2 linked regions of the Arabidopsis thaliana genome follow. The protein of the gene in region 2 purifies or fractionates together with the protein of the main gene of each other region. This does not show direct contact. Each region holds a gene or a part of one and is shown on either strand. Other genes may lie near its edges. The genes, in order: NRPB2 and PRL1.

Region 1 (13,490 bases), 2.5 Mb from region 2:
TGCTCGTCTTATGCTTAACTATTCCAAGGAGTCTAATATCTATGGAAGTTTGGTTAAGGGAGTGTTAGAGAGCGTGGATAGCCTAAGTGAATTTAAAACGGTTTTGATTCTTGGTGCAAGAAACACTCCTTTGAACTATGAGTATAAGTTGTTAGAGCAATCGAAGTTGGATTGTGGGGTAAATGGTGGAGAGAGTTTGTCGTTAGAGAATGTTTTGGGAGGAATGTGTAAAGTATTTGAAGGTAGAAGTCATGTGTTTGGTTTGATGTATAGAAATGATTGTGGGGTTGACCATAGTTGTAGTCCTTTTGGAAGTGATGTAGAGTACACACCGGGTTTTATGTCGATGTTATCGTTTCTGTGTGATGGGGAGAAGATGCGAATGCTTTTGTCATTTAGTAACATGAGCGGTTATAGTAGTTTGTTTCCATTTGATCCGAGAACCAGTTTGGTTGCAGAGGGAAGTTGGGATGTAGAGAGGAATAGGTTCTGTGGTGTTGCGTGCAGGATCTTGAATTTCTCGGATTCTTTGAGTAATGCTGTGGTTGATGATTGTTCCCTGAGGTTAAGTTTGAGATTTCCTGCTATCTTGTCGATTAAAAGCATGGCTCCAGTAGTTGGGGAGCTTTGGAGTGCCCAAGCAGAGAGTGATCCAAGCTATTTCAGAAGAATTGAGTTCTCGAGCCTAAACGATCAACTGTGGCGTTTCCCGAGTCTGAGATATGAGTATACAGAAAGCGAGAGAGTGGGTAAGTTATGCGGGGCTGGCAAGAGTCGCCCCAAAAGGAAAGGAAACCATTACCCTGATGCTCAAACTTCAGACATGAGATTTGTCATGTCAGTCAAATATTCTGGAGAAGGTAATGTCTTGAGAACTGCCCGTGCAAGTCCTTACTTTGTGGGAGACCGTTTGTATCGGGATCTTTTGGTTCGTGGGCAAGGGGTTGGGCTAACTGGAATCCCTATGAATGTCAACAGTGTCACTAAAAGCTTTACAAATATCACTTATAGAATCCGTTCTTTGAATCCAAATTCCGAATCTCGTGGAGATATCTACGCTGAGGGAACATATGATAGGGATACAGGTGAGCTATGCATGGTAGGATGTCAATCAGTTAGGCTAAAAAACACAGTGGCTATACAAAACGAGACTGTGGATTGCAGTCTTGCAATCAAGATTAACTTTTCTCCAATTGATTCGAGAAGCGATGACCGTTTAAAGGGAACCATCAAAAGCACACGGGAAAAGACAGATCCGCTTTATGTTGGACGTATGGAGGTTTTGTCGAGGTCCATCTATGTTCATCAAGCGAAAGAATCTGTTTGGAGAATGGATTTGGAGGTTGCTATGGTTTTAGTTTCCAATACACTTTCATGTCTCTTCTTGGGTATGCAACTCTACCATATGAAGCAACACCAGGAAGCACTTCCTTTCATCTCCGTTGCAATGCTGATACTTATTACATTAGGTCACATGATTCCTCTGCTGTTAAACTTTGAAGAACTCTTTAAAGGCAGCCATAACCAGCGAAACTTGTTCTTTGAGAACGACAGATGGCTCGAAGCCAAGGAAATTGTGGTGCGGATAGTGACACTGATAGCTTTCTTACTCGAGTGCCGTCTTCTCCAACTAGCTTGGACTGCTAGAAAAACCGGAGACCATCATCACCGTGAAGATGTGTGGAAAGCAGAGAAGAAGGTTTCTTATGTGTGTTTACCTCTCTACATCACCGGTGGATTGATTGCTTGGTTAGTGAACCGTAATAGAACTCCTAAAAGAATAGTATACATAGGAAAACCGCAAGCTCGGAATCTCTTATACCGTCCAGTGAACCTGAAACGCTCATTTCAACGTCCTCCTTTGTGGAAAGATCTAAAATCTTATGGAGGTTTGATGCTTGACGCATTCCTCCTTCCTCAAATACTCTTCAACGGTTTCAGCAACTCGGACTTGAAGCCTCTTGCTGCTTTGTTTTACGTTGGAAACAGCTTTGTTCGATTGCTTCCTCATGCTTATGATCTGTATAGAAGTCACAGCTACGGGAAGATTCTTGATTGGTCATTCATTTATGCAAACCACAAAATGGATTATTACTCTACGGCATGGGATATTATTATCCTCTGCATCGGTTTCCTCTTTGCGTTTCTGATTTTCTTGCAGCAGAGATTCGGTGGTCGTTGTTTCATTCCAAAGAGATTCAGAGAATATGTGGGATATGAGAAAGTTGTAGAGCTTCAACAAGCTGGTGAGCAACACAATACCAATGACTCTTGACAATACATATATAGACACACAGTTTTGTTGTCATACAATTCATTTATCTTGTTCTTAACTGTTTTAGGTTGTGTAATATCTACAGTTTTGTGGGAAAGCAAATTGTTATAGAGTGAATATAAACTTCAATAAAAATGGAACCAAATTGCCAAAGCTCTAACTTTGCCTTCTGCTGATTCAATATGATAGTACACTGCATTTGAAAAAAGAACAGAGGATTCTCTTGTAGACTGTTCTATAGATGCTATGAAAACAGAGTCTAGAGAGTGTTCTTAACAAAATAAAATTTTGGTACATTTGGTACTAATAAGTATTGCTGAAGGAAGACTCAACCGTTAAGAAATCACATTCCTAAATCCTTGTCTCAGAAGACATCTTTGGTATCATCACGTCAAGGAAGAATAAGAAACTTTTAGCATGGACTTCTTGTGCTGAGAATCACTGTGGTTTCTTCATCGATTTCAATTTTGTCATCTTTCATACGCTGCAACAGAGTATCAATGTTACGTCCGCCTTCTCTTATATCAGCCTTGACAAGAGCATGATACATCTGTTTGTTCACACCGATACAATTCCTAAGAGATGCAACAAAGCTTTCTACTTCTTTCAAACTTCCTTCATCCCCGACCCAACTCAAAACACTTGTAACCAGCGTCAATCCAGGTCTCCATTTTCTGCTACCCACTTCTACACCTAAGGCAGTTTTCATACACTTGAAAGCATTTTCTAAAGTACCCTTTTCCGCATAAGCAGTAGCCACAAGTTCCCAAGATTCTGGTGTAGTAGCTTTCCCTCTTCTTGCTAAATCTTCAAGCATCGCTTCTGCCTTCTCCTCCATACTTTTTCCAATGTAACCACGAATCACAGTGTTAGGCACTCGAAAATCATAACAGTTCCCCGATGATTTCCATTCCGTAAGTACTTCCTCAGCCTCAACTAAAGCATCAATCTTCACAAGCGACTGCAACACAGTAAGATAGTCCTGATTTATTCTCCTTTTACACACATCTTTCTCCAAATCCCATAACCTTAAAACCTCTATCTTCTTCCCTAACCTAGCATAAAGCGTAATGAGATGATTGTAACCTTCACCATCTTTCTTCTCCAATCTATTCTCCGACATCTTCAAAAGCTCAACCGCTCTATCACAATCACCACCATCAATATAAAACTTAGCCGCAACCGCATAAGTGTTCCAATCCATAGTAATATCCTGTCGTCTCTCCATATCTCTCAAGGTCCCACCAATCCTCTCAAGATCATACATAGCACCAAAAGCATTAATACATATCCTATAACTATAGTTATCCGGAGCAACATTCTCTTCCTTCATCTCCTCCAAAACCTTAGGAACTTTCTCGTGCTGACCAATATTCGTGTAAAGACACATAATGTTATTGTAAGTAAGAGACGAAGTAACAAAACCCATCTCCTTCATCTTCTCAAAATGCAACAGAGACTTCTCAACATTCTGTTGCCTAACGTAACAATTCAAAAGAGCTCCATAAGTCTTATCATTCTTATACTGTTCCTTAAGATTCTCAAAATACTCTTCTGCAGTGACAAATCCATAAACTCTACCAATAAGATCAAGATGAACCGCGTGTTCTGTCGGAGAGAACACACATACACCAGTCTCATTCATCCATTTCGAAACCTGAATTTGAAAAATTCTAAAGTTTAGTTTTTTTTCTCGGTGTAAAGAGGGAAAGAGACTTGATTTGTATAGAATTACTTACCTCGAGAGCGTGGAGGAAGCGTTTGCGTCTACGAAGATCGTGAACGATGCGAATAAGTTCAGCAACAGAGACTTTTTTACCGCATTGAACCCAGTTTTGGAGTTCTGGGTAAACACTTGATTTTGGGTCTCCTAAAGGACTGATTTTTGAGTAAAGTGTCGTCTTTTTTACTCTGTTAGTGTAGTAATATCTGCTCGCAATCAAATTCGCCGGAATTCGTCTCAGTATATTCATCGGTTCCGGCGAAGAAGATAGTCAAAGATTGAGACTTTACAAAAATGAAAAAATACAAATAAAGGTTGAAAGTTTATGATAATTGCATATTAAGCCTCAAAACTTTTATTATTATCTAATTTACACCTGAATCTTTCTATTGAACATTTTAACTCTCAAATAAAAGCTATGTTTTGAGGAAAAAAAAAAAAAAAAACTATGTTTTATCAAGCTTTTGGTACACGCATAAACTTGATATCAAGAGTCTGTGGACTTGGAGAAGCAGAGGTTTTCTTTGATAACATTCCCAAAGATTATTGCGGTCTTTTCTAGTCTTCTTAGCTGCTAATATCGTAAGCTGAGAAGCTTGTGGAAGCCATGAAGGAAGCGTGTGTTTCCATGGACACACGTTGTTACAATCGTATGATGAATATGTATAATCAGATGAATGTGCATGGAAAATTAGATGATCTGATGCTTGAAATGGAGAAGAATGGAGTCTCTTTTGACCAATTTACTCTTAGTATTCGTCTCAGTGCATATGCTGCAGCTACTAATATTGAAGGAATAGAGAAAACCATAGAAAAGATATCATTAATGTTTGAAACAGCTATTGAATGGATTTCGCAATGTTGAGCTCATCGATAAGGCACAATGATGATGAAAGCAGAAGGAAACAAAGTGAATCCCCATACGGATGCCCCATGAGAATAATTAGGAGCAGCAAATTTACTAAAGAATCCATAAATATATCTTATAAGGTACCTTTCTAGCTTTAAGAATTAGTACAGAAATATTACACAAATTTGTAAATTTAGTATTGTTACAAAGCTATGACCAAGAGAGAAGGAAAGTTCAAGTTTCTACAAAATCAGATTGCAAGCTCCTCACTGTCTGCCTTTAGCCGATTTCAGGTGTTTAGTGAGCATCCTTGGTGCAATAGCCATTGACATAAGCTCTTGAAAGAGTAATTTGCAAGCATATGGAATGTATACCTGAGAATATTTAGATGAAATGACATCAGACAAATGAGCATGAAAGAGATAAAGATGAATATGAACCACTTGCACAACAGTTTATGTTTACCTGAACAATATCTGTTTTGTTCTTGCAACCTCTGCATTCAAAAGAATTCTTCTTCAGATTTGCAATGGCAATGAGCCCGCAGACTTCACACACATGTACCCTATACGCATCACTCTGATCAAACAGCCTCTCTTTCAAAAAGTGAGCAGCACCATGTGCAATCATGCAATCGCGCTCCATTTCTCCAAAACGGAGACCACCATCACGTGATCGCCCTTCAGCTGGTTGTCTTGTTAAGATTTGCACCGGACCTCGTCCACGCGAGTGAATCTTGTCATCAACCATATGCTTCAATCTTTGGTAATATGTTGGTCCAAGGAATATCATAGCTGTGAGTGGTCTGCCCGTGTGACCATTGTACATTCTCTCAAATCCACGCATTTGGTACCCACACTTATGAAGGGCTTTGCTTATATTATCCACCTAACGACACAACATTGGTCAAAACTAATAATACCAAGCCCAATGCTAACTAAGCAGCTAAGGAAAATGCAAGTTACCGTGACATCTGTAAAGGGAGTAGCATCTCCTTCTTTTCCCATGTGAGCTGCCACTTTTCCCATGATGCACTCAATTAGCTGTCCAATTGTCATTCGAGACGGAATAGCATGTGGATTCACAATAATGTCCGGAGTGACCCCTTCAATCGTCCATGGCATATCCTCCTGCGTGTAGGTCATGCCAACAGTTCCCTTCTGACCGTGTCTACTACTAAATTTGTCTCCAATTTGAGGAATCCGCACGGATCTGACCCTCACTTTCACAAACCTCAAACCATCTGCATTTGTAGTCAATAACACCTACACGAAGTTACAAGAATTGATCAGTTTCATATTTCAATCCTGAAACTTTCTAAACCCTTAACTGCAAGGAAAAGCCAAAGTTACCTGATCCACCATTCCAGTTTCACTATGTCGCAAGCTTATACTATGATCACGTCTAGTGTATCGGGATGATTGTCCTTGAGCCTCATCTTGAGATATTGGAGTGGTTTTCCCAATGATAACATCTTCACCTGAAACTCTAGTACCCTATACCAAAAATAAAAGATTGTATGATATGCTTTCTAACATTAGTCACCTAATCATATCAGATAATAAATAATTAAGGAACAATAAATTATAAACTTACAGGAGGCGCAAGACCATCATCATCCAGTTTATCATAAGAACCATGTCGCATACCCTGCAGCAGAAACCCAAGTGTTAAACTTCACTTACAAAAAGCACCACTGAAGTATGAACCATGTGTCAATTACTTTCTTACCATTGTACTTCCTCTGTCTGGGCGCCCAAAGTCTTCTTTGACAAGCGTCCCCATTTTTTTCTCCTCATCTCTGTCAGCAAACGTGATTGCAGTATAAATAAATGGAAAGACCGAAGGCAAACGTCCAAAAGTATAGCATACTCACCTGTAAGACCGAAAGAACAAGGATCGAAAGAAACCACGATCTATTGAAGACTGATTCATGATGACAGAATCTTCTTGATTATATCCAGAATAGCAAGAAATGGCAACAATAGCATTCTGCACAAGAAGAAGAAAAAAAAACATTTGAGAGATTTGATACACGAGCAATGCTGAATTCTGAAAAACTTCTAGCAAAAATAACTTACAATTCCTGCTGGAAGTTGTCTAAAGTGAAGATGCTCCATAGCTCTTGTAGTAACCAAAGGCTTTTGTGGATAATAGAGAACATAAGCTAACGTATCCTGGTTGACAGAACAATAATAATTTCTTTAAAATATTGAGTGATGTAACAAGAGCTGACAAGAAAGACCACAAATTAAGAGCCTAGAACATACCATGCGAAATTGGTAGTTGGTGACATAAATTCCCATTGCTTGCTTCCCCATGGCAGATTGATATGTATTACGAGGTGACTAATACATCAAAAAGTAAAGGGTTAGTTAGCATGAAACTGAATTTACATAATGAAATCGCTTCTGATAGAAAAGTCATTTAGACAGAGGTACCTGATTATGGTCAGGAAATGGTATGATTGAAGCACAGACCCCCAATATCAGAGATGGGTGAATCTCACAATGTGTGTAGTTTTCAGTATAAGCCTCTTCTGGGCGGAGTCTAGCTTGAACCAGATCCTACAACAAACATAAGAGTAAGATTTCTGCAGAAATTAGTGCACCACAAACTCATTTAATCACATCTTCATTTCATTACTCACACTGATAGTCATGGAAATCATGGTCGTTTCCTCTTCTTCTGTGTCTATGTATTCTATAAAGCCCTTAGCAACCAGATGATGCCAACCATCTTCTTCTGCACTTTCCTGGGTTATGAAAACAAATATTGGTACAATGGAATTTATAACAAAAGATACTTTGATAACAGGTAAAAATTAGAATTTTACCCTTTGTTGCAGAGCATAGATATCTCTCTTCTTTATTAAGAGCTTCTGATTATCTACAATAAACAACGGACGGCTACAACGTCCATAATCAGTGTATATCCGGAGCTCTTTAAGACGGATATCTCTAACTACACCAACTTCAGTGTTGACATCAACCTGCAAGAGGAAAAAGTAATATGTCACTTCTGCATAAAGTTGCAATATTTTCACTAGCATATATGGAAACGTGAAAGAAACTGCATGCTTACCCTTCGTCTCAAACGTCTCAACGTTTTCACCAACATGTCAGGATCTCTATGAACTCCAACCCACATTCCATTGACAAAGATTTTTGTGGCTTGGGGTATAACAGATGGAGATATTTCCTATATTCAAGTTAAGACCTTCAGGAAACCACAAGAACCAAGGAGGCAGATGTTGGGTAAGAAATTGAATGTGAAATGCTACAGACCTCAAAATTCTCAGTACCCCATTCTTCCAAAAATTCCAATATAGGATAAGCAGCTGACCCAACTGTTATGTAGACCATGAGAGCCAAGTTTTTCACTAGACCACAAGCCTGGTACAGCAAAGCCACAATGAGCAATGGAACTATAAAATCCGAAACACCCTTATTTTATAAATATAACAATTTTACCTGTCCTTCAGGTGTTTCAGCAGGGCACATCATTCCCCACTGTGAGTTGTGCAGTTGTCTTGGTTTTGCCAATTTTCCTGGCATATCAGACTTGATTAGATTCAAGTGGGATAAACAAAAGTACAAGCCAATCTAAATTGCAAGGATGTGGATAATAAAGAGAACCATGACTAAAATACACCAACTGTACGAACAGTTACACAGAGACAAAATAGAAGTGCAGGAAAAGAACGAGGCTTTACCTTCACGTCCTATTGGAGAATTGAGACGCCTCAGATGTGACAAAGTCGAAGCATATGTCAACCGGTTAAGAACCTGTTGTTAGTTAAGTCTTTAGAGCCATATAAATCATGCAATGAATTATAATAGGCCAAAACAGTAAACCCGATAACATACATCAAGAAATTATTGGAACTCAAAAACATAATTAACATAGAATTATCCTAACCTGAGAGACTCCAGCTCTTGTGCCAGCAGCGTTTGCCTGGCCCCAGTTCCCAGTAGCAAGAGAATATTTCAGGCCAGAGGTAATTGTTTTAGCCTTAATGGCAAATTGAAGATTGACTTCTTTGCCATTGTCAACGCACTGTCAAAGAAACATGAATCAGACTTCCAAACACAGAATAACAACTTAATACTAAAGTCTTTGGCTCGAGAAAGAGTAACTATGTAAGATACCTTTTGAACATAAGATCTCACATCCCTTGTTAACTTTCGGAAAAGCTGCATGTAGAGAAGATGTTAGGTCAGTAAGAGATAAAAAAAACACTGATACTCAACAATCCCCAAGAGTGTATAATTGTGTGCCGGGAACAAACCATTCTAAATAGCCCTCCAAGTAAAGGACCAGCAAGATCCAGCCTTTTGTTACCATAATGATCCCTATCATCTTCTGGCCTTCGGCCAAGTGCACAAAGCAGCAGCCGGTGTATGATATACCTACGGATCATAGCATAATATGAGCAACACAGAAACATGTTAAGTCTATAAACATTACAAGTGAGTTAAATACCTACCCAAAATAGTAAGCTTTCTTTGTCTCGCAATGCTCCCCAATTCCTACATGAGGAAGCATTTCTTTCTGAAGGATATCTCTAGCATACCTGCAATGATAATATTGCAATCGCAAACCTCCAGTGTGAACATCTCAATAGTTGACATCTTAGATCATAATGTCCAACTTAATTGGTTTAGATTATCACATACTTTATCCTTTTTTCCTTGGTTACACCAACAGTTGCACCACGTTTTCCAATATAGTCAAGTGCAACCTGAAGTAATATGAAAGTTATCAAGTGATTGCAAGATCAATTCCTCAAGCATAATAAAATGTCATTAACCAAGTGAAAAAAAAGTGGATACCAGCTGATTTTGAATAACGAAAGCTTCTTCCAAGGAAGGCCTGAGCAACTCCATCATCTGGGTATCGGCAAAATCATAGCAGATGTGTTCCAATATGTCCTTATCGGCAACAAATCCCAGTGCACGAAATACTATGATAATAGGAATTTCTGTTCTGATGTATGGAAGAGTACATCGAATATACTGTCCAGATGAACCCTGCATCCATTTGCAACATAGAATGTAATTTATTTACCATTATCTAGAATTTAAAGAATAAATTTCGAGGAAGGATATAGTAGAGTTAAGACTAATTAGCTTTCTCTTACCCCTTTTGCACTAGCACGAGCAAGCATACGCACAAACATTGTGCTTGGAGGCCTATTTTGGTTTTCAGCCATAGAACGGACTTCACCAACATAAGCATACTTATTTGGCTGCCTTTTCTTGAACACATAAACATGATTCGTACTCATCTTCTCCTGAGCAATCAGAACCTTTTCACTGCCATTAATAATGAAGTATCCACCCTGATCATAAGGACATTCTCCAAGCTCTGTCAGGTCTTTCTCCGAGTTCTGAAACAAGGTACAGTAACTAGACCGGAGCATGATGGGAACCTAGCAAATAATCAAACAAGAAGAAAACATTTCTACTATCAGAACAGTAGAGTACATGGAAACACCTAAATAAATGTGACACAATGAACTGAGTTCGGACACCTTTCCAATGAAAACTTTAGTAAAATCCTGTGTCTCCGTAACTTCTTCACCATCATGCCCTTTCTTAATAACTCTCTTAGTAACATCGACATACAAAGGCGCAGAGTATGTGAGATTTCTCAACCTTGCAGCCTTAGGGAACAGGGTGGCAGTCTCTCCATCAGACTCTGTCATCATAGGTTTACTCAGATAAATCTGTCCAAAGCTAATCTTGTAGATTGTCTGCAGGAAAACAGCTATATCAGACATACAGAAAAACAGATAGCAAAACAGCTATATCTCAGCTCACACAAAGTCAAAAATGATTTGAGCTTCAACCGATAATAAAGACCACTGAAAGGACACTTTGAAAAAAGCGAAGAGCTCAAGCATTAAATGGAAAGATAATCTCGGAAAATCAATGAGCTTAGCTACTCGACAAAGGCAGACCCTAATTGCAACAAAACTTAAAAACTGATTTAAGCTTTAACCAATATTCAAAACCACTGAAAATACACCTCAAAAAAGCGAAGAGCTCAAGCATCGAATACAAAGATAATCATGGGAAATCATTGAGATAAGCTTCTCAGATAAGGGCTAACAATAGACTGTCTGCAGGAAAACAGACCAAAGGGACAGCAAAAAAAGATACCAAACTCATTTTTATAGTGCCAAAACTGATTTGAGTTTCAACCAATACTATAAATCCTCCTCGAAAGAGATGAGCTCAAGCATTAACTCAAAGATAATCTCGGGACATTAATAAGATTACCAGCTCAAAGTCAATATCCGGACATCAATAGTCAAAATCATTTTTTGACTCTTGAACAGCATATAGCTCAAGCATTGAATAACAAGACAATCTCGGGACATCAATAAGATTCAGGTAAACCCTAATCGCACCCAAACGGTAGAAGCTCAAATCGAAACACTTTAAAACCGCCACAAACACGATAAACCCGCACATAATTTCGAATTCCCATAGAAACCCTAGAAAAAAACAAAAACGAGGAAACAACCTCCGCAAAATCGGACTGATGGCCAGGATTATGCTGAGATTCAGGTCGGATCTCGATATCAGCAGACTCATCAACGATTTCTTGCATAGTATTTTGAATAAACTCATCAAACGAATCCAGCTGTTGACGAACGAGACCTTTCTCTTCGAAATAAGCAGATATAACAGCCCACGCGTCCTCCTGGGTAATCTCCTCATCGTCATCGTCTTCTACATATTGAGGTTCAGGTTCGTATTCGTTGTACTCCATTTATTCTCACTCTCTGAAGATTAGAGCACAGCAAACTTCACTACTCGAGCTCTCGGAGACAAAGAGAGAGACAGGACGCAGAGAATGAGACGGCTTTGTGAGATTGTGAGTTTATAAAGGCTCGAGAGAGAGAAGTCGGCTTAAGTTTATGGAAATAACCGGTTTGTATCAATAACCGGTTTGATTAAATGGGATTATAAAAAGGATCGGTTTGGTTGTTAGAGAGCTTGGATTGTTAAATGACGGAAACACCCTTACTATATAAAGAAAAGTCTCCGGCTACATTTTTGTGGCGTCAGCGATATTTTCGGAAGAAGAGAGAGAGAGACGGAGAGTGAAGGCGGAGGAAGGGAGAGAGAGATGATACCGCAGCAATGGACGCCGCCGTGTGGGAGCAAATGCACGAATAAGTACTCAGCATTTACGCAGCTTCCATGTATGTAATATCTGGACTCTTAATTTGTGTGAATCGGATTCGTTTTTGAGTTTTGATGTTCGTGGTCCGTTGTTTTTTGATGGTTTAGTTTTCGATGATGATGATAAGAATCTGTTGTTGGAGCTGATAGATTGGGTTCTGATTTGGATTGGTGATTGATTTCTTGATTCAAAAGTCAATTTAGTCTTCCGAGTGTTTCTTCTTTTTGTTGTTGTTTGGAATTGAAATTGGGATCTGTAAATTGGATTGTTGATTGATTTCTTGATTCATAAACCCTAATTATTTGTTGGTGCACTCTACTTCATTACGATTATACTAAACATTTTGGTCAAGAATCGCTTCTTTGGTTAGATTGGTCCAGAGACAACTTATAGTTGTAGTTGCAAGTATTTAAGAACATCCATCTTGACTCGTAATTGAATAATGTAGATTGAAGAATCGGCAACATTTATATTGATTACAAGTAAGGGAGATTATGCAGAGTTCTTAGAGCTTTTCTATCATGTAATTAAGAAAATGGTTAAATTAGTAGGAGAAAGTGGAAGATAATAAGTTGTAGTTTATGAACTGAAAGAAATTTAAAGGGAGAGAGTCAAAGTAACGGTATCAAAGATGCTTCTGTATCCATGTTGCTTCTATGAACTATTGACATATATGTATGCTTAAGCTAGTTAAAGGGCTTGGTTTGGCTGTTTCTGTCTTTCTGATGAAAGCTTTTCATTCTCTGATCTCTGAATTTCATTCATGGGCACAAAAGCTAGCTGAACTTATGCTTGGTATGACATTTTTTCCATAGCAATCTGGGTTTTTTTTCAGCTTTAGCATCAGTGTTTATCCTCCATGTTGTTGTATGACATTTTTTCCATAGCACTAATGTAATTCCTGAATCTGTGTAGGGAGAGTATTCTGCAAAAAGGGATGTGATGCCGATAGTGACTCATGGGAAGATTGTAAGCATTTCTTTTTAATTCTTTGTAATCTGTAACGAAACTGTTGATGAAATGATGAGCGGTTAGATTTGTCCTCACTATGGAACATCATAAAAACCAAGCTTGTCTCCTACATAACGAAATTACATGTTCATGAAGAGTATCTTCTGCTTTTCAGGTTTAAGTTTCCAAGTTAATGAATTGGTGTAATAGTAGTGTACTCTCTATAGGTGTAGGAGACTGCAGTGAAATTTGCTACAAAGATCCTGTGCTAAAAGACAGACCATGGACTGCTGTTATAGATCGTTCTCCTGGAGATGCCAAATACTCTGAGGTAATTCACACAATGAATCTTTTTCTTCAAAAAAGAGAAATGGACTGAACCGTATCTAATTGTTGTACATGTAACTCTGTTTTTAAATTCAGGAATGCTTTCACGCATGTGTAGCAGGCTGTGGTTACAAGGTTTGTTTCCTTGCTTCAACCTCAATAAT
Region 2 (16,589 bases):
TCATTCTTAATTTTACCTCATCTGTCAAAACTCAAAAACATTATTTTATAGCGTTTTGGTAGTATCATATCACACACGTTTTGCAATAAAAGATGTCATTGTTCATATCCACTTGGTCCTTTCTAGAAATGATTTTTTTTTATACTCCAAACAAAAAGCTTATAGCCGTCTATAATAAAAAAAAACGACCCACCTGGTCTGAAAATTCAATTTTTGTAGACAAACAAATTGATTTTAATTTAATTAACTTTATATTTTAAGCAGCAATTTTTGTCTTTTTCTTAGTGGAATTCGAATATCGTTTTTATAGTATATTTTTTTTTCTGTTTTCAGAAATAAGGTCAGTGGTTATTTTTGGTGGTAGTTGTTCATTTAGTTTTATAAAGGTTATTTTCGTTCATATATACATGCAATCATCATATATAAACCAACAACCACATGGCATTTTTAAGCACGTCTTCAAAAAAATCGCAGTCACATATCAATTATATGAACTTGTACGTCATTAGATTTTTTTCACATCTAAAATATGAAAATCAACGTCCCAATTGTTTATTTATTTTCCAGCTACTATACTGTACCACGACTTGGTATGGTAGGTCCATATCTTGGATAAAGACATATATACGTAACATTTCATTTTCAATCATTCGCAACAAAATAAATAGAATACGTTTTGAGTTTATCACAATATCTGTTATAATATATAGACTGATCATAGTGTCTAATTTCTTAATACAATATGCAGAAAACAGTAGTGACAACAAAGAGCGTGAAATACATGCCGTTTTGGTTGTCGTTTTTCCTCTTCTTAAACGGCGCGATTTGGGCTGTCTATGCTTTACTCCAACACGACGTTTTCTTACTCGTAAGTATAGTTTCACTGTTTTATTCACTTCTTAATTTATGATTACACCCTTATACTCATGCCGTCTCTGTGTCCCGTTAGTGTTTTGGCTTTAGACACATTCAAAAGACAAAAAGGAAAACTTAACAAAGCTATTTCATCGACCCCATATCTTTTTCGATATTCCAGCAATACCCCCAAAATATTTTTGTTGTTTTCTTTACATCCCCAATTAGACCCCATTAGTGTCAGGTCATGTCACAGTTTATAAAAAATCTTCTGGAAAAGAAAAAATCGATTTAATGCTCAATGATTTTTTAAAAATTGTGGACTCCAAGTCTCCAACATTAACCAAAATGTTTTTTTTTTTGGCCATTTTTTTCAAACAATTAATTTTTTAAAGAACGTGTCTGGTTCAAAAATGCAACAACTACTATTTTGTGGGGACATTTTCAAATGCGTTTTATTGTGATTTCGGATAGGCGTTGATTATAATTATGTTGTTGAGAAATAATGTATTTGTGATTGATTGATTAATTTAGTTAATTAAAGTTATGTGGTGAAATTGGATAGGTGCCAAATGGAGTGGGGTTTGTGTTTGGGACAATGCAACTCATACTTTATGGAATTTACAGAAATGCCAAACCGGTTGGTTTAAGCAACGGTTTAAGTGAGATTGCTCAAGATGAAGAGGAAGGCCTCACATCACGTGTTGAACCTCTCCTCTCTTAAATCCCTTTTTTTTTATGTCAAGAGCTTGTTAATTAATTTGGGTCTTATAAATACAAATCTTTATATTTTTTGTTACATTATTGTGGTGTGCGATTTTGTGTACGTTATTTTTTTGGACAAAATTAGATTAATTTGAAGATGTTACATATTTTAGGGATTGTTATTGTAATGCATCTTTTGTTAAGCGAAGATAAGAGAATGGAGTGTTTACTATGTTTTGAGGCTTAGTAACTTTTTTGTTTGGATAAGTTTTGAGATTCTTGACGGTTGAGTTTGTGAGATATTATTCGTAAAAAAACGTCTTGTGTCGTTGTGTACGTTCGATTGCAAGTGAGCGTATACAGTCATACAGACGTACGTACGGTTCGGTATTTGTGGAGCAAACATATTTCAGTTTTACTCGTCTCTCGGACTTTGACATTTCCCTTTAGCGTTCGGATCGTGATATTCATTTCAGACACAACAACATGGTCATAATGACTAGCTCAGGGATATGTCCTCCTCAATACTTGTTGATGCTCAATTTCATATATGAAAACGAGAGTGACAACATGTTTGATATTTGTTGGGGGAAGAAATGTGAGTGACAACACGTTTAGACTGACAAATGTTGAGAAATAATACATGTTCAAAAAAAAATATTTTCTAAGAAAAAATTGAACAGAGACAAAACTCTTCCGATAACAAACACATCAGTAAACCTAAAACGAAAAAGTACTGAAAAGTTTTAAAATAGCACCACTAGCTAAGACCAAAGGAGGAAAAGCAGCCAAAACGTTGATCTCAGTATCTCATTATAGCATAGAATCGATGTTATCATTTTAAGTTTAGTGGACAAAGTGATAATATTTAGTTATGATATATACTAAGATCTTGAACCCTTCACAGTTTCACTGATTCATAATCTATTGTGGCAACCAAGTATTGATGATTGATCCTTACGTATTCACTCGACTAGCCCAGAAGTGGGCCGAATTACAGCATATTCTCAACCCTCAATAGTCCGTTTGCATTTTCTAAGACTATTAGGCCATTAGCAGCCTCAACAAAACTATGGGCATGAAGAATCAACAAAATTTTATATGGGGTATGAAAAAGCACCATCATTTTCTATTGTTGTATTTGATGTTGACAACAACAACAAGTATAAGATTGTGGTCACAAAATATAATGCCATAGTGAAATCATCTTGTTTTGTTGTTGTTGACGTTGTTAAGTATCATAATTTAGTCATAATTAGCAACGTTTTCTATTTTTCGTATATCCCCATTTATCTCTTAAAACATTTAAGACACTGTTATACTAAAGATGTTGTGTTAGTCGATCCAAACAGATATTATATTTTTAACTAGTTAATGTGATCTTTATTTTTACTTAATAGTTGATACAAGACAAACATAAACACACATAATCAGAATAGTCGCCTACGACAACCTTCCACTGGAACCAAGTCAACCAACCAATCAAAATTCTCAGAAAGACTTTGCTTTGTTTTTCAAAAGCAACTCTCTGAGCTCAGCTGGATCAATCTCAGCCGCACGATTGGAAGGTCTGTAGTATCCAGTAACTGGATCTGGTCCCCAAGCAGACTCTGCCTCTTGATCTAAACCTCTCTGTTCCATCTTCCCCACCATAACTCTGGTGGAACCTCCCTTACTCAATCCTGCTGCTGTTACATTCTGCGATGTAGCAACGTAACTCCTCCTACATTCCAATAATTTATTTTGAAGGTAAGATTATATAAACAGCAAATGACTAAATAACATAACGAAAACGTAGAAAATAACGTGATAATATCATGCATAATTATCTTTAATAGATCTAAGTAAATTAATTACGTTTATTAATGATAGATCAATCTTTAGCCTTCACTCAAATTCAAACCATCAACTATTATTCAATTAGAATTATAAATTCTTTATACGATCTAAGCAAATGAAAGAGTGTGTAAATGTTTATATATTGTAACCTGAAAAAATGGGATCAGTTCAAACATAAGTACCTTAAGACAATGGAACAAGACAGACTTCCGGATGCGGCGGAGCAAAGAGATTTAACGGCACCGGAGAGTGAACGAGCGGCCATTTTTATGATATTTAGATATCAAATAAGTATCAATGATAAAGATATGACGATAGAGCTTAGCGTTTTAGCTACCGCAAAATGATTGTTATATTCTTCCCAAGGCAAGTATCAAGCCTAAGAAGAACACAATCCTTTTTGCAGTAGCCGCCGGTACTAAGCCGCCGTCAGATTCCCCGGTGATGGTTTTTCGAGAGACTTTAGGGTTTGGGTTAGGCGCACTTATATAGACCACGACAGAGAAATTTGGGCTCATGGGCCTTACTGTGGACCCACTGCTCATACTTACTGCCAAAGTAAGGTTAAAAACTGAAATGTGAAAATAGTAAATGGCTAATTCATTTTTTTGGGGGGTTTTATTTATGTTTTTGCCTGTTTTCGAGAAACCCACAAGTGACTAGTGAGAAAGCTATGATAGTTTGATGCTTTGATAGTTTGATGATTGAATTGAAAGAAATAGAAGACGTAAAAACCAATGTACGTCTTCCACTAAACGATACTGGCAGTTAAAAAGGTGAAAAGTCTACAAAAGATCTGCGAATAAACAAGTATACTTTGGTACAAAAGATCAGAAGAGGTCGGTGAGATCTGAATGATGATAACTAGAACGTGTCACTTACGTATTGCAAAACCAACACACAGGTGTCTTCGCGCAAACGAGCTCACCATCACCGTCTCTTTTTAGTGGATCTTTTCCATTCAAATTGTTTACTATTTCAATATTTTCTTTTGTTTTTACACTTGGTTTCTTCGTATCAGCTGTTTTGTTTTTACACTTGGTTTCTTCGTATCAGCTGTGTAGTTACACTATAAAAGCTTCATAAACCAAACAACCCGAGCCAAAATTTAGGCTGAAAACTTTCAGTGGTGGAGACTAGAGATATAAGTTGTTGATCAAATACTTAGATTCGTCCTACAAAACTTCACAGATTTGGTTGCACAGAAATCATGATAGATCTTCGATAAGTACTAACGAAGAGAATCAAGAGACGGGAGATAAAAGTAACAAAGTTCTCTCAACATAAACAACAATACATGATCTATTATTGTTGATAGAAAAAATTACAAATGCCCTTAAAATACATAAAGTACATGGCCTTTTGTTTCCTCCCCACCACAAAACAAAGGTCCCCTCTCAAAAGTTGATCTAGGAAACAGAATCATGAAGAGATTAGTGAGATTCCAACAAGAGCTTTGAGTTACAGATACAAGTTATTTAGAAGCGCCTAATCTCCTTTGGTGGTTTGAAATTGATAGGATGAGTTTCTGGAGTTGCATTCTCATCTTCTTTCCACATCTTTATCGTCTTATCAGCCTCGCATGTTACCAATCTTGAACCTGTATTATCATAACACGCTGCATATATACCCGCTTCACTCTCCAGGGAACCTGCCATATGCCCAACCACATCCAATTAAAGACCCATTTACTATTTGCTTGTAAGACGACGCTATAGGCATTTACATAAACCATAAACCTACGTCAACTTTCTTGGTTTCCCTAGAGCTCAATCATAGTATCATACACTTCTAACATTTGAGTCTTTACCAGGGTTCAAACTTGACTACGTTGTATGAACATACCGAGACTTCTACATCTTACCATAACAAGGAGATCAGGAGCAAAAGACCATGAAAGCTATAAATGTACGTACCAGGCTGTACGATAGTTTCTGACTGTTGGAAACTGTGACCACTCTTCCAGTCCCAGAACCATATACTTCCATTATCACCTTCATTCACACATATATAGAATCAGTTTCAGTTGAAAATGATTATGTCTCACCCATTTTACTATCAAAGGAAAACAATCACAGGGACGAAAGGAATCAGAAATGATTATATACCTCCAGTGACCATCACACCATCCTCGTTTACAGCCATTGCATTAATTATGGTTTTCTGTTGCGAACTTTTCCATGGAAAAAGATAAACATTGTTCAAACACATCAATTACATAATTAATAATGACAGCTCCTATTTCAAAAGCACTGGAGATGCAAAGTATATAATTATCTAGCAGAGACTTACAGCATGTTGTGGCAGAACTCTCCCTTTGGAAGGCTAAATTTCTTGGTGTTGTCAGCTGATGCAGAAGCAAAGGCATTCCTAAAAAGAAAATTAAAGAGATAACATAAAGGAAAAGTTTAGGTGCAAAGACTTCGCTATTGGAAAGATAAAGTAGATTCAGCACGATACACAAAAGTAGATTCAGTACGACTACACATACTCTTTAGGATGGAGGGTCATTGCTCGGACAGATTTCTTATGATGTGTTAGCGTTGACATTGTTTTTCCTGCATATAATAATAATACAGCATTATTCAAATGAAACCATATATTTGCAGCAACTGATAATCAAATAAGGAAGGATTTAAATAATATGGATTTTAAGTCCAAACAATGGTTACAATGATAAGATATACCATATCGAAGGTCCCAAAATTTAATGGTCGTGTCATGGGATCCGGTGACAACTTGTGGGTCCTGCAACAACACAGATCAAAGTGAGTTCCAGTTACTATTATAAAAAGATTCAGCAAGAAATCCAAAAACCATAACAACAAGTCCATATTAAAAGAGACTTACTGTTGGACGAGTAAATACAGAACAAACGGTGTTGTCATGTCCTGAGAGTGCAAAAATTTGCATCTTGGTACGAATATCCCACACCTGCAAATAAGTAAACATGGACTTTTAAACTACAAATCCAGCAAAGTGCAAGAATTCAAACGAGAAGATATATAAATATGGATATAAATATTTTTGCCTTACCCTGCAGACAGAGTCTCGCCCCCCAGTTAATAAAACATCCAAAGTTGGGTGCAGAGCTAAGCAATAGACACCACTCAAGTGACCATGATAAGATCGGATAACCTATCAAATCAAAAATTCCAAGAGCATTAGATATGAGAAATCCAGATAATGAAGAGAATAGAGTTGTAACCTTATTCTGCTCAAGGTCCCAGCATTTGACTTGCTTGTCATCACCAGCAGAGAACATATAGGTATGTCGATTGCTTACAGCGAGGCCTGTAACAAAATTCAAAACAAAAGAGCCCAAACTTGTAACTTGTCCCGAGAGTGTTATTTATTGAAAAGTCTAACAAATATTAATAAACGAGAACAGATTTGAAAGGCTAACCTCGTACTTGCTCGATATGCCCAGTAAGTGTTAGCTTCAGAACTCCAGTTGCTACATCCCATATCTAGTGAATAAAACACAAGTAATAAATTCAGTAAACATACCAAAGTCGGAACTGCTTCTACAATCGCCAAAGTAGTGGATTTTTGGCAATGCACTAAACTAAGCTCCAGTAACTAGCCATAGAAGGGAAGTCTTGTATCATGACTTATAAGTATAACAAGAAAACATATTCGAAAAAATACAATTCATATTGAATAAGCAATCATCTCTGCTACCTTGATGGTACGATCAGCTGAACCAGTACAAAACCATTCATTACTCGGGTCAAACGCAACAGATCTGACCCAACCCAAGTGCCCCTGAATGACCTGTGAAAAGAATAATTAATCGTAAGTTAAGTAACTCCTCAAACCAGAGTTTTTTGGAGACCAACAAAAGACCAAAATCCGTATGATGCAGCAACAATGCTGAGCCACGGATTTTACCCTGTAATTCTTCCATGGTGCATGCCACTCTGGCCGGGGCCATCTACTTGGTATTCTCTCCATTAATGCAGCAGTTGACAGATTTCTGTAACACGCAAAGGAACGCAACAACAAAAAAGGAATCAGAATTAGAAGCTACATTATAAGGACAAACCAAAAAAATTCAGATTGGGGGAAGTCTAATTTGCATGCCCATGAACTACCTACACTACCTAGAGCTGCCATTAATGTATTGCAATCCAGATAAAGAAAAGCAAGTATGAGGACGAGAAAAAAACCTTTGATATGAAGATACATTTGCAGGTATAATGGTGGTGCTCTTCCCTGAGGAACCTGTATAGTTCCTTCAATTCGAGAACCGAATTCTTTTATGAGCATCCTCACGATAAAGTAGAACCATCAATTAGCATTCAGATCAACGAAACCAACAACAAAAGATAACACTTACAAGCCTTTAGGCAGTATTGGACGCAGTAAAGTTGGACCAACAACAATAGCACTCTCTGTCGCACCCTTTTGCGTACTCTTAGACCCTTCAGGAGCTGCAGAATTCATCAAGCAGATGATTTTATCCCTTCCAATACAAATAAGAATGCAAATAGCAAACAAGAAACAAGTTTTTATCTTTCACCAAGACATAGTGATATGAAAAACACCTGCGAGGGAAAGAGCATTTGAAGGTCCTGGCTGCTCATTGATGCGGTCAGGTTGACGTGGAGGTTGACTCACAACAGGTTCTACACCTCCAAACGCAACTTTCATCTGTACAAAGAAAACTTCTAAAATCAGTAACATACACAACAGAGAGAGAGAGAGAGTCTAAGTAAATCAACCATCTTTACTATTATTGGTAACAAAACCTGAAGATTTAGAACAATTATGGAAAAACCTGAATAAACCTAAAGTTCGAAGCTTTAAACCAAAATCCAATCAATAGACATTAAAAGCGAATAACTGAAATAAATTTCTAAAGACTGGTAAGAGAGACTCAATGTTTTACCTTATGGCTGAGACGAATCTGCTTGCTGCAAAAAAAAAAAAAAAAAACGAAGAAATCATAAAAACTTAGTGAAGAAAATGAAGATTCGAATCGAAAATTGGGGATCGAAGAAGACTAACGCTTCCGGGTCAGGAGGAGGGAATTGGCCATGGACGGGAGAGAAGAGTTCAAGTGATCGTTTGAGGGATTTGAGACTGAGCTTTTTCAGTGACTGTGCTTCGATGGGTTCGATCTCCGTCGTCGGAGCCGGCATCGTTCTTCTTTTAGGGTTTAGAGAGAAAGAGAAGTGAAGTGAAAAAGGGTTATATTAATAATCTCGAGTTTATTTATATCAATTTCACGATTTTGTTGCGCCGAAAAATTCTTTTAAAAGGGAAATGAACACAATTAATTTTTCTGGCTACAAATCTTCTTTTTAAGCTTTATGTTAAAAGGAAAAAATAAAGACACATATTTTCTTAATATGGTTAATGAGTAATTAGATTGATATGTATTAAGATATTGTATTTTCTTTCTCTTTATAATTACGGTTTTACCTTTTCTTAAACATACATATACCAAATGATGTATGAAAGTTTTCATGCAATATTATTGAGGTCATAAATTTTGTAACACTTTCTCAAAGACAATAGATTTATAAATTTTCAAATATTTTGCAGCATAGTTTTGATGAGAGACTCCCATGGAGTATTCAAACAAGAGATTTGCCACAAAAGTATAAATCTTCAAAAACCTTGCCCCCCACATGGAGAATGCATAAACCAAAGAAGGAAGCTCACACTATATTTTCGAATCTCTCATTTACTATCCATTTAACATGTTTCCCATAAGACATCTTCAAGAAGAAGATAAAGAGTTCAACACAAATACTTATATTTATTAAGCCAAAGAGATATGTAATCAGTCTTACATATTCGTAACATCTCTAAGCGCCATATATGTGCTAGAGATAGCTCTAATGAACTTGCAAAAGTTTTAAAGCCGTTATAGACATCAAATAGCATTTTTGAAAATATTTAATCACTTTGAGATGTTATCACTAAAATCAACACATACAACACATAAATCAATTTGAGGGCAGGGATGGATTTATCACACAAGGACAAACATGAGCAAGCAAACAAATGCGCGCACACACACACACACACCAGGTTTTAGTGTCTTATGCGGTTTATAAATACGATTTAGACTTTAATAGAGTCTCGATCTAATCTCCCAAAAAGAAAAATCGAAGTCATGCATTTACAGCAAAAGCTATTTTCTACAGTCTCATTTTTAAGTTCTAACTCTCATCATCAGACATGAAAGTTGGTCTTCTTCTCAGAGACTCCAACACATCAGCTGATGGTCGACCACTCTGGCTAACTCCACGGCTCGACCTTAGCTTCGGAACACTCATTGCGCTCAGAGGCGGCGTTGCAGCTCCACCGTTCACTTCTCTCAACACCGACCTAGCTGCCTTAGCCGCCACCACATCAGCAGCCGCAGAAACCACTCTTGATTCCAATCCCGAATCTCTAACATTCTCCTCGCTTGCTGCTGATGCTTCAGGTTCACCGTTTCTATGACTTGTCCCGCAGGCAACCCCTTGGTTAGCCATGGACCTTGCCTTTGCAGCCTCGTGCTTCTGCATATCGTAAACAAGCTCTTTCTGAAGCTGTTTGTCAGCGACAAGCATTTCTTCGATCTCGTTCTTGTAGTCTTTGAGGAGGACACGGAGGCAGTCCATGAGCGAACCTGTGAGAGGACTGTTCTTGCTCTCCAATAGCCTCTTGAGCTCAATGAAGATTGGAATCGTGTTCTGAATCAAACCTTTTCTAACAGCGTGCGTTATGGCCCTTCCTTTTGCAGTTGCTGCATCTCCACCTTCTTCCTCTATATCTGCTGTCTCCGACGATGCTCCTCTGGAAACTGATAAACGGATCTCTTTGCACGCCAAGATCTGAAACGCATCCTACACCGAGACAAAACGAGTTAAAAATCGGCAATCACAAGAAGAAAAAAGGCTCTGTAGCCATTTTGGAAGTTACCTGTAGAACTGATTGACCAGTGACATCTTCTATGTTGAGCATTCCATCAGAAGCAGCTGCGAGGATCTCTGCACATAACTTGGCGAATGTGGCCAAAAGGTGTTCTGGGGCCATTTGTTTAAGCAAAGTAACGTAGATCTGCATTCTTTTAGACCTAGCCCTTTCATCATTCCCTCTACAGAACAAATGAAACAAAGATAATCACTAAGATCATTCACACCAAAATGTCAAGTTTGCGTATGAGCATAGACTATATAACTTTAACACAAGTACCTGATAGAAAAAACTTGATCCTTTGTTCTTGATTGTTTAGAATCTGGATTACTATGGCCAGTGTGGGCATGGCAGTCGTTTAAGACATAAATAGCTTCCACGAAACTGTTGTAAGCTAGAAGTGGCGCCTTTACTATAAGCAACATGGGGCGTAACAATAATCAAAAATCCTAGAGATCATGTCTCTCTGTAAGAATTTTCAATAACATGGGAATGAAAGAATGCATTTCATGGTTGCTCACGTGAGTTCTCATACCTTTAAGGATGCTTCCAAATAAAAAGTCTGCAAGTCGACGTATCTTTTCAGATTCATCCACTAGCGATAGAAGGAATCGAAGGAAGAGAACTCCTCTCCATTTCACGTAGTCTCTCTGAATCAAGAAAACAAGCCTGCTTATTCATTGTCAATTCAATACTTTTTAAAAACAGAAGATAAAGAATCTGTGGAGAATAGCAATACCTGTAGTAACCTTGAGAGAAGTATGAAGGTTTGCCTTCTAACAACTTCACAAGGATCCCGAAGACGTTTAGTAATCTTCGGTATGTAACTATCCAGGTAAACAAACCATTAGAATGTCGCAATCATGTTTAACATTTGAAAAATTAATGTTCTGTGAATGAAATACCACTCAATCATGGCTGTATAGTGAACACAAAAGTCTGTCATCGCTACTACAAGATTGTTACGCAAGGCTGCACAATCACTCTTTTCAAGTTCCTGCAAGAGTAAGGCATCAACGGGTTCACATAGGTTAAAAAAAATTGAAGAGACAAAGGAGACTACCATCCAATGAATCAAGTTCCTGGAACGAAAAGTTTCCTTTCCAGAAATAATCAAAATGATAAAATGGACACATGAATCAGCAAATGCAGACAGACCTGTGCAAAGAGAGGGAGATATCTTTTAGCAAGCTTCCCGTCAGCCAAACACATCTTCGCCATGGTTAACCAAGACTGACTATAGAGAAGAGGAGCTTTTTGCTTCAAGCAAACATTAGCTTGCGGCAGTTTGTTTTTCAGCTTTGAGTCTGAATTTCCTGAAGTGATGACAGTATGTAAGAACGGAACAATTTTGGTCGTGTCAGCTGAAGGATATATAATGACACAAGATCCAATGGTGTATACTGCTGTGACTGCTTTTGATAATTTCTTGGACACAGTATCCAGTCTCTTGCTTCTTCTACTTCCGAGTGTTGCTGGTGTAACAAAAGAATGATTATGACTGGAAACCCCCTCGATGTACTTCTCAGTGACCTTAGATGCTTTCAATGAAACTTGTTCTACCCACTTCTTGACAAGCATATCGGCCTCCTCAGAGGTGCTTGCCTTCTTTTTGCACAAAGTTTTTAATGCTTTGACATGTGCATCGACCTGTCATTCAATGGCATTGACTAAGTTCATGAAGATAGATGAACCATATACGAAGCAACCATTTTCAAACCAGTGAATAATGATCTGCTCAATTCAAGCGTTCAAGTTTCAGGTTACAGAAAAGTACCAAAAAAATATCAAAATCTGAAAGAATACATCCTTCTAGACAAAAACCAGTAACTTTCTGTACTTTCAAAACATGAGCTTGATTTTATATAGAAGATATCAGGTTAAATATTTATCATTACCTCAGCAGAATGCAGGTTAAAATTTTCGATTTTCTTCAGCAAATTGTCAGCCAGATCTGCAGCAGGCTCTGCTGGCAGCTGAAGGGAAACATTGGAGATTGTTTGCAAAAGACAAACTCGATCGCCAGCCCATGTAGAAGAATTACACTCGACCCCCTGTTCATCACCTTGTTCATCTAGCCCTTCAGAAATAGCCAAATTATCATACATACATTCATGAAAATTGGTTTAATTAGGGTAGAAGTTAGGACTAAAACCAGAAAATCACACTACCAGTAGGAACAAGTAAAGACATGAATCAGTTGATTGAGATGTTTATAGATGGATAAACAGAATTCTGACAAACCTTGTACGTCATTCTTGTCAAGCAACTGCCAATGATGGTGAAGAAATTCCCATTCGACAGACTTTGAAAGATAAACTGAAACCTCTGATAGAAGGAACCAAGCACCAGCAGGAGCTGTCCATCTATTTATTGGCATTGAACGACTCAACCACAGTGATTCAGATTCCTTTATGATACACTGAAGCGCAAGGGCAACTCTTGGTTTTAGTCGCTTCTTCTTTCCCAAACTTCCACATATTTTCGTAACCCAAGGAGAAACCTCACTGTTGCAAAGCTCCCTTAAGAGAACCAAAACTCCTTCTGGAAACAAGGCTTCAATGTCTCTGTCTAGATCTTTTGAAGTAGTGTTCCGGTTGTTAGGGAGAGAAGCACTGTCTGGAGAAAGCACATTTCCAGCTCGTAATATTCTCTCCAGAACTAATTCATGAAAGACATTCTCGCATTCTTCTTGGATGCTAGTTTCATTGTCCATGATCATCCGAGGAACAGAATGTAACCATTCAGTGGTCACAATTTCATCTGTACATATTCTGAATGCCTACAGTGAACAGAAGACAATGAACTTGCATCATCAGAGAAATATGATAACAAGTCATTAGCCTGAGTGCCTGACCTATATTCAGGGATAAGTTAAAGTATAAAGATTATCTGATTTTAGTATGAAACCGACGGAAGCAGTTGCTATGTAATTTCCCATTCATTCATCTAAAAACATTTTTGGCTTGCACATTTGGTCTCTTTAACTTTGAGCTAATTAAGGTCAAAGCAAACCCGTATAAATTATACTAACTCTACACATATTACCATCGGGTAAATGAGAAAGAAGAAACTGAGTTACAGAAAACATACCTCGGAAATAGCTGAAACTGCAGCCTTTCTTATACTTATTAGCGGATCAGAACAAGATGTACCCATTGTCTTTAGGATACTACCATCAAAGCAACCACCCATAAGCGATGTCAATTTTGTCACCAGAAGAAGAGCTGCTCTCCTTACAGCCGCCTTCTCATCCACACATCTTTTCTTCAAAAGGTCAGTTACTGCACCTTTTCCCTCTGAAGTCTCACCGTTAAACCCAAGGGCTTGTTTCAGGATCGACCTACTCCTTTCATCACCAGACAAGAACTCCACAACTTGAGCCAAGTTGGACAAAGCTCGAGCTCTAATCAAAGCGCTCGTGTCTGAACACCGCTGAACTAAAGCATCAATACAACCCAAGCCCCACGAATCTTTCAACCCATTCTCTGAACTAATATCTCCTAGAGGGTTTCCTAATGAGCTTATCAACAGAGGTATAATATCAACAGCTAATACTCTAAAATTAGACTTCCCTTGACACATCTTCATTACAAAATCAACAAACTCTGATTGGCCCTCAACCTCCATTGCCTTTACAATCTCCAGTACCGCCTCCACTGCAAATCCACGCGGCTCGGCCTTCTCAGGTGCCTTATGAACCAGAAACTTAGGCAAATTAGACACAACTTTTTTCAATTCAGGGTTATCTTTAGCCAAACTCATCAATTTCCTTGACACAAATCCCAACGCAAAACTTCTCGCTTGATGTTTCCCCATAAGAAGCAACGGTGTCAAAGACTTTGAAATCTCAGCAGCAGTGAGTGCCATATCTCCATGGTCAGAATTCAACACTCCTCCCAGAATCTTCCCACACATTTCCATCAATCGATCATAATTCAAAACTCCAGAGTGCTCCAACGCCAATAAAGGAATCTCACTCACAGTTTGTACCAAAGATTTCAAACTATCAGGAAATCTATCTAAATGAACAAAACTCAGAACCGAGCCAAGCTTCTCTAACACTATAAACATCAATTTCGCATCAAATCCACCTTCTTCAGTCTCTTCCCCATCTTCATACCCTAAATTCCTCTTACCACGTCCTCTCTTCTTCTTATTCCCTTTCTCTCGCTGCGAATTACTCCCTTGACCGGCGGAATCATCACGGCGTTTGAGGTAGCGGCGAATTGAGCCAAGTAGAGAAAGAAACGCAATCGGAGAGAAGAAAGTGAAAACGGGGCAATTCGTGGAAAGAAGCAGACTGAGATAAGCGTCGGAGGCTAAAATAGCAAGACGGCCTGATTCAACCGGAGAATCCATGGCGGCGGAGATACAGCGGAGAAACGAAGAAGCCATTGAGGAGAGACTACCGTAGAATCGATTGAGAATTTCATCATCGTCTGTATCAAGTAGAGATTTGAGATCCGTGACGAGTTCATGATAGTCAGATTCATCGTCTCCTCCTTCGATTCCTGCAAGGATTCTAGTGAGCAGAAGCTCTTCATCCATGGCGATTCTCTACTGATAGAGAGAGAATTTTGGATTTCACAGAAATTCAGGTGAAAAGGTTTCAAATCATTTTGGATTTCCCGCGATCTGTTCGTTCTTATTAGAATTCAAAGTGGGACTTAGAAAAAGGTTTGGGGCTAATTTAGCATTTCCACAAAGAGCAGAGTCCTCAGTGGGTAATATGATGTATACGAAACAATTTTGGGATTTTAATGAAACAAACCCTGCAGTTTTGGCTGATTCATTTTAAAACCTTCAACTTAAGTTTTAATAGAAATACCTCTCATCTCAGAAAGTCTAATGAAAAACCAGACACTATACTATACTAGTCAAAGGATTCACTTAACATTTAAGGAATATGATTTATGCTTAACATTTTAAAATCTTCTTTTGGCGGCTCCACTAGTCAAAGGATTCACTCATCTTATTCTCAAGACTGATGTCCCTGCCATGACAAATTCTAGACAACAAAATATGGCTAGCAGTCAGAACACAAGCGATACATCTTCAAGGCAGTATGAAACAACGGAGCCTTCTCTTGATGAAAACATTGATGCATTGCTTGAGGTAAAGAGCCATTTGACCCTTCTATACTTCTAAATTATGCTATGAGCGTGAGGGAATTTTATGAATATCGCTCACGAATAACCTTAGAAAACCTGTAATATGGTAATTATTTTGTTTAAACTCTGGCAGGAAGAAGAGACCTTAATTACAGCACACAGAAAAGAGATCGAGGATACAATGGAAATAGTTCACGAGGTTATGGCTCATATGTCTTGTGATTGTTTTAACATTATTTCATGTTTTTTTTTGTAGGAAATGAAATTACTAGCGAAGGTGGATCGGCCAGGGAGCATGATTGACAACTATGTTACACAGCTGAGCTTTGTGTTGTCCCGTAAAGCAGCTGGTCTTGTAAGTCTTCAAGCCCGTCTTGCTCGGTTCCAACACCGTCTGAAAGAACAGGAGATACTTAGCCGGAAGAGAGTTCCGCGCTAGGAAAGGCAGTGGAAGTTAGTTTGCCTTCCAGTCAGTTTTTGTTAGGAGATACACACAAGTCTTCCTTCCTCTCGTGTTTTATGAATTGGGGAATTTGTTTTTGTTTTTGGGAGTGGGTTTTAATATGTCAATGTTACATTTGGGATTTTGTTTTTTCTGTGTCCTTGTCAACATTTGTACTCACAAACAGCAGTTTGTTGTATATTTGTAACATATTCGTGTATGTATTGGGGAAATTGTGCAGAACATTTGTATATCGAAAACATTTGCTTTCAAGAGATTATTCATGGAATTTTGGCTATTGAACAGAGGAAAATATATCGAACCGATACTAGATGGAAACTTTAAATTGCGTTCGCACTGGTCAAGACCGGAGAGAAATAAATAAGGTTTTCAACATCTCATATATCTTCAGCTAGACTAACCAACATAGAGATCCAAAACGCTTCATCTACATTTTAAAACAAGAAGAAGGAAAAAAATACAATAACGGAACGAGCTAAGAGCTCTGGGCTTGACTCAGTTTTTACCTCTGCTTTTAAAGCCGAGTGCTTCACTGCCTAAAAGGAGTGGGATTTAAAGTTTGAACAAATCAACAATGGCAACCAAAAATAGTATTCCTAATAGCCGAAAAAACATTAGCACAAGCAACTTCAATCAGCTCGTAGCCTCAGAATCTCTTTAGCTGTTCTGAGTCGGAAGTATGGCATGTGTTCCTG

What was found.
Region 1: the proteins of PRL1 (region 2) and NRPB2 purify together in Arabidopsis thaliana (affinity purification with western blotting; one study listed by BioGRID). This does not show direct contact.

Annotation. Positions count from the first base shown.
Region 1 is NC_003075.7:11,530,570-11,544,059, forward strand, and holds NRPB2 (DNA-directed RNA polymerase family protein), read right to left. Parts: upstream 11,837-13,490; 5' UTR 11,632-11,836; coding exon 11,383-11,631; intron 10,607-11,382; coding exon 10,385-10,606; intron 10,283-10,384; coding exon 9,992-10,282; intron 9,882-9,991; coding exon 9,684-9,881; intron 9,593-9,683; coding exon 9,528-9,592; intron 9,425-9,527; coding exon 9,338-9,424; intron 9,261-9,337; coding exon 9,140-9,260; intron 9,045-9,139; coding exon 9,000-9,044; intron 8,908-8,999; coding exon 8,770-8,907; intron 8,637-8,769; coding exon 8,564-8,636; intron 8,399-8,563; coding exon 8,322-8,398; intron 8,244-8,321; coding exon 8,136-8,243; intron 8,050-8,135; coding exon 7,933-8,049; intron 7,841-7,932; coding exon 7,685-7,840; intron 7,604-7,684; coding exon 7,499-7,603; intron 7,416-7,498; coding exon 7,290-7,415; intron 7,197-7,289; coding exon 7,119-7,196; intron 7,026-7,118; coding exon 6,930-7,025; intron 6,841-6,929; coding exon 6,725-6,840; intron 6,650-6,724; and 13 more. Other genes in the region: AT4G21700 (DUF2921 family protein, putative (DUF2921)), read left to right, coding at 1-2,275; AT4G21705 (Tetratricopeptide repeat (TPR)-like superfamily protein), read right to left, coding at 2,688-3,932, 4,015-4,248; AT4G21720 (defensin-like protein), read left to right, coding at 11,992-12,067, 12,964-13,017, 13,227-13,330, 13,423-13,461. UniProt on the Arabidopsis thaliana protein: DNA-dependent RNA polymerase catalyzes the transcription of DNA into RNA using the four ribonucleoside triphosphates as substrates. Second largest component of RNA polymerase II which synthesizes mRNA precursors and many functional non-coding RNAs.
Region 2 is NC_003075.7:9,015,732-9,032,320, reverse strand, and holds PRL1 (pleiotropic regulatory locus 1), read right to left. Parts: upstream 8,656-16,589; 5' UTR 8,547-8,655; coding exon 8,413-8,546; intron 8,319-8,412; coding exon 8,294-8,318; intron 8,056-8,293; coding exon 7,950-8,055; intron 7,836-7,949; coding exon 7,742-7,835; intron 7,638-7,741; coding exon 7,572-7,637; intron 7,379-7,571; coding exon 7,294-7,378; intron 7,177-7,293; coding exon 7,084-7,176; intron 6,870-7,083; coding exon 6,806-6,869; intron 6,694-6,805; coding exon 6,608-6,693; intron 6,538-6,607; coding exon 6,436-6,537; intron 6,334-6,435; coding exon 6,250-6,333; intron 6,148-6,249; coding exon 6,087-6,147; intron 5,958-6,086; coding exon 5,891-5,957; intron 5,770-5,890; coding exon 5,692-5,769; intron 5,573-5,691; coding exon 5,508-5,572; intron 5,394-5,507; coding exon 5,316-5,393; intron 5,051-5,315; coding exon 4,878-5,050; 3' UTR 4,513-4,877; downstream 1-4,512. Other genes in the region: SWEET17 (Nodulin MtN3 family protein), read left to right, coding at 749-868, 1,421-1,579; DI21 (drought-induced 21), read right to left, coding at 3,052-3,283, 3,582-3,664; AT4G15890 (binding protein), read right to left, coding at 9,576-10,247, 10,324-10,498, 10,597-10,729, 10,853-10,967, 11,057-11,144, 11,223-11,314, 11,476-11,967, 12,216-12,397 and 2 more; AT4G15885 (kinesin motor protein-like protein), read left to right, coding at 15,343-15,435, 15,565-15,630, 15,688-15,870; ESD4 (Cysteine proteinases superfamily protein), read right to left, coding at 16,524-16,586. UniProt on the Arabidopsis thaliana protein: Pleiotropic regulator of glucose, stress and hormone responses. Also regulates cytochrome P450 CYP90A1/CPD.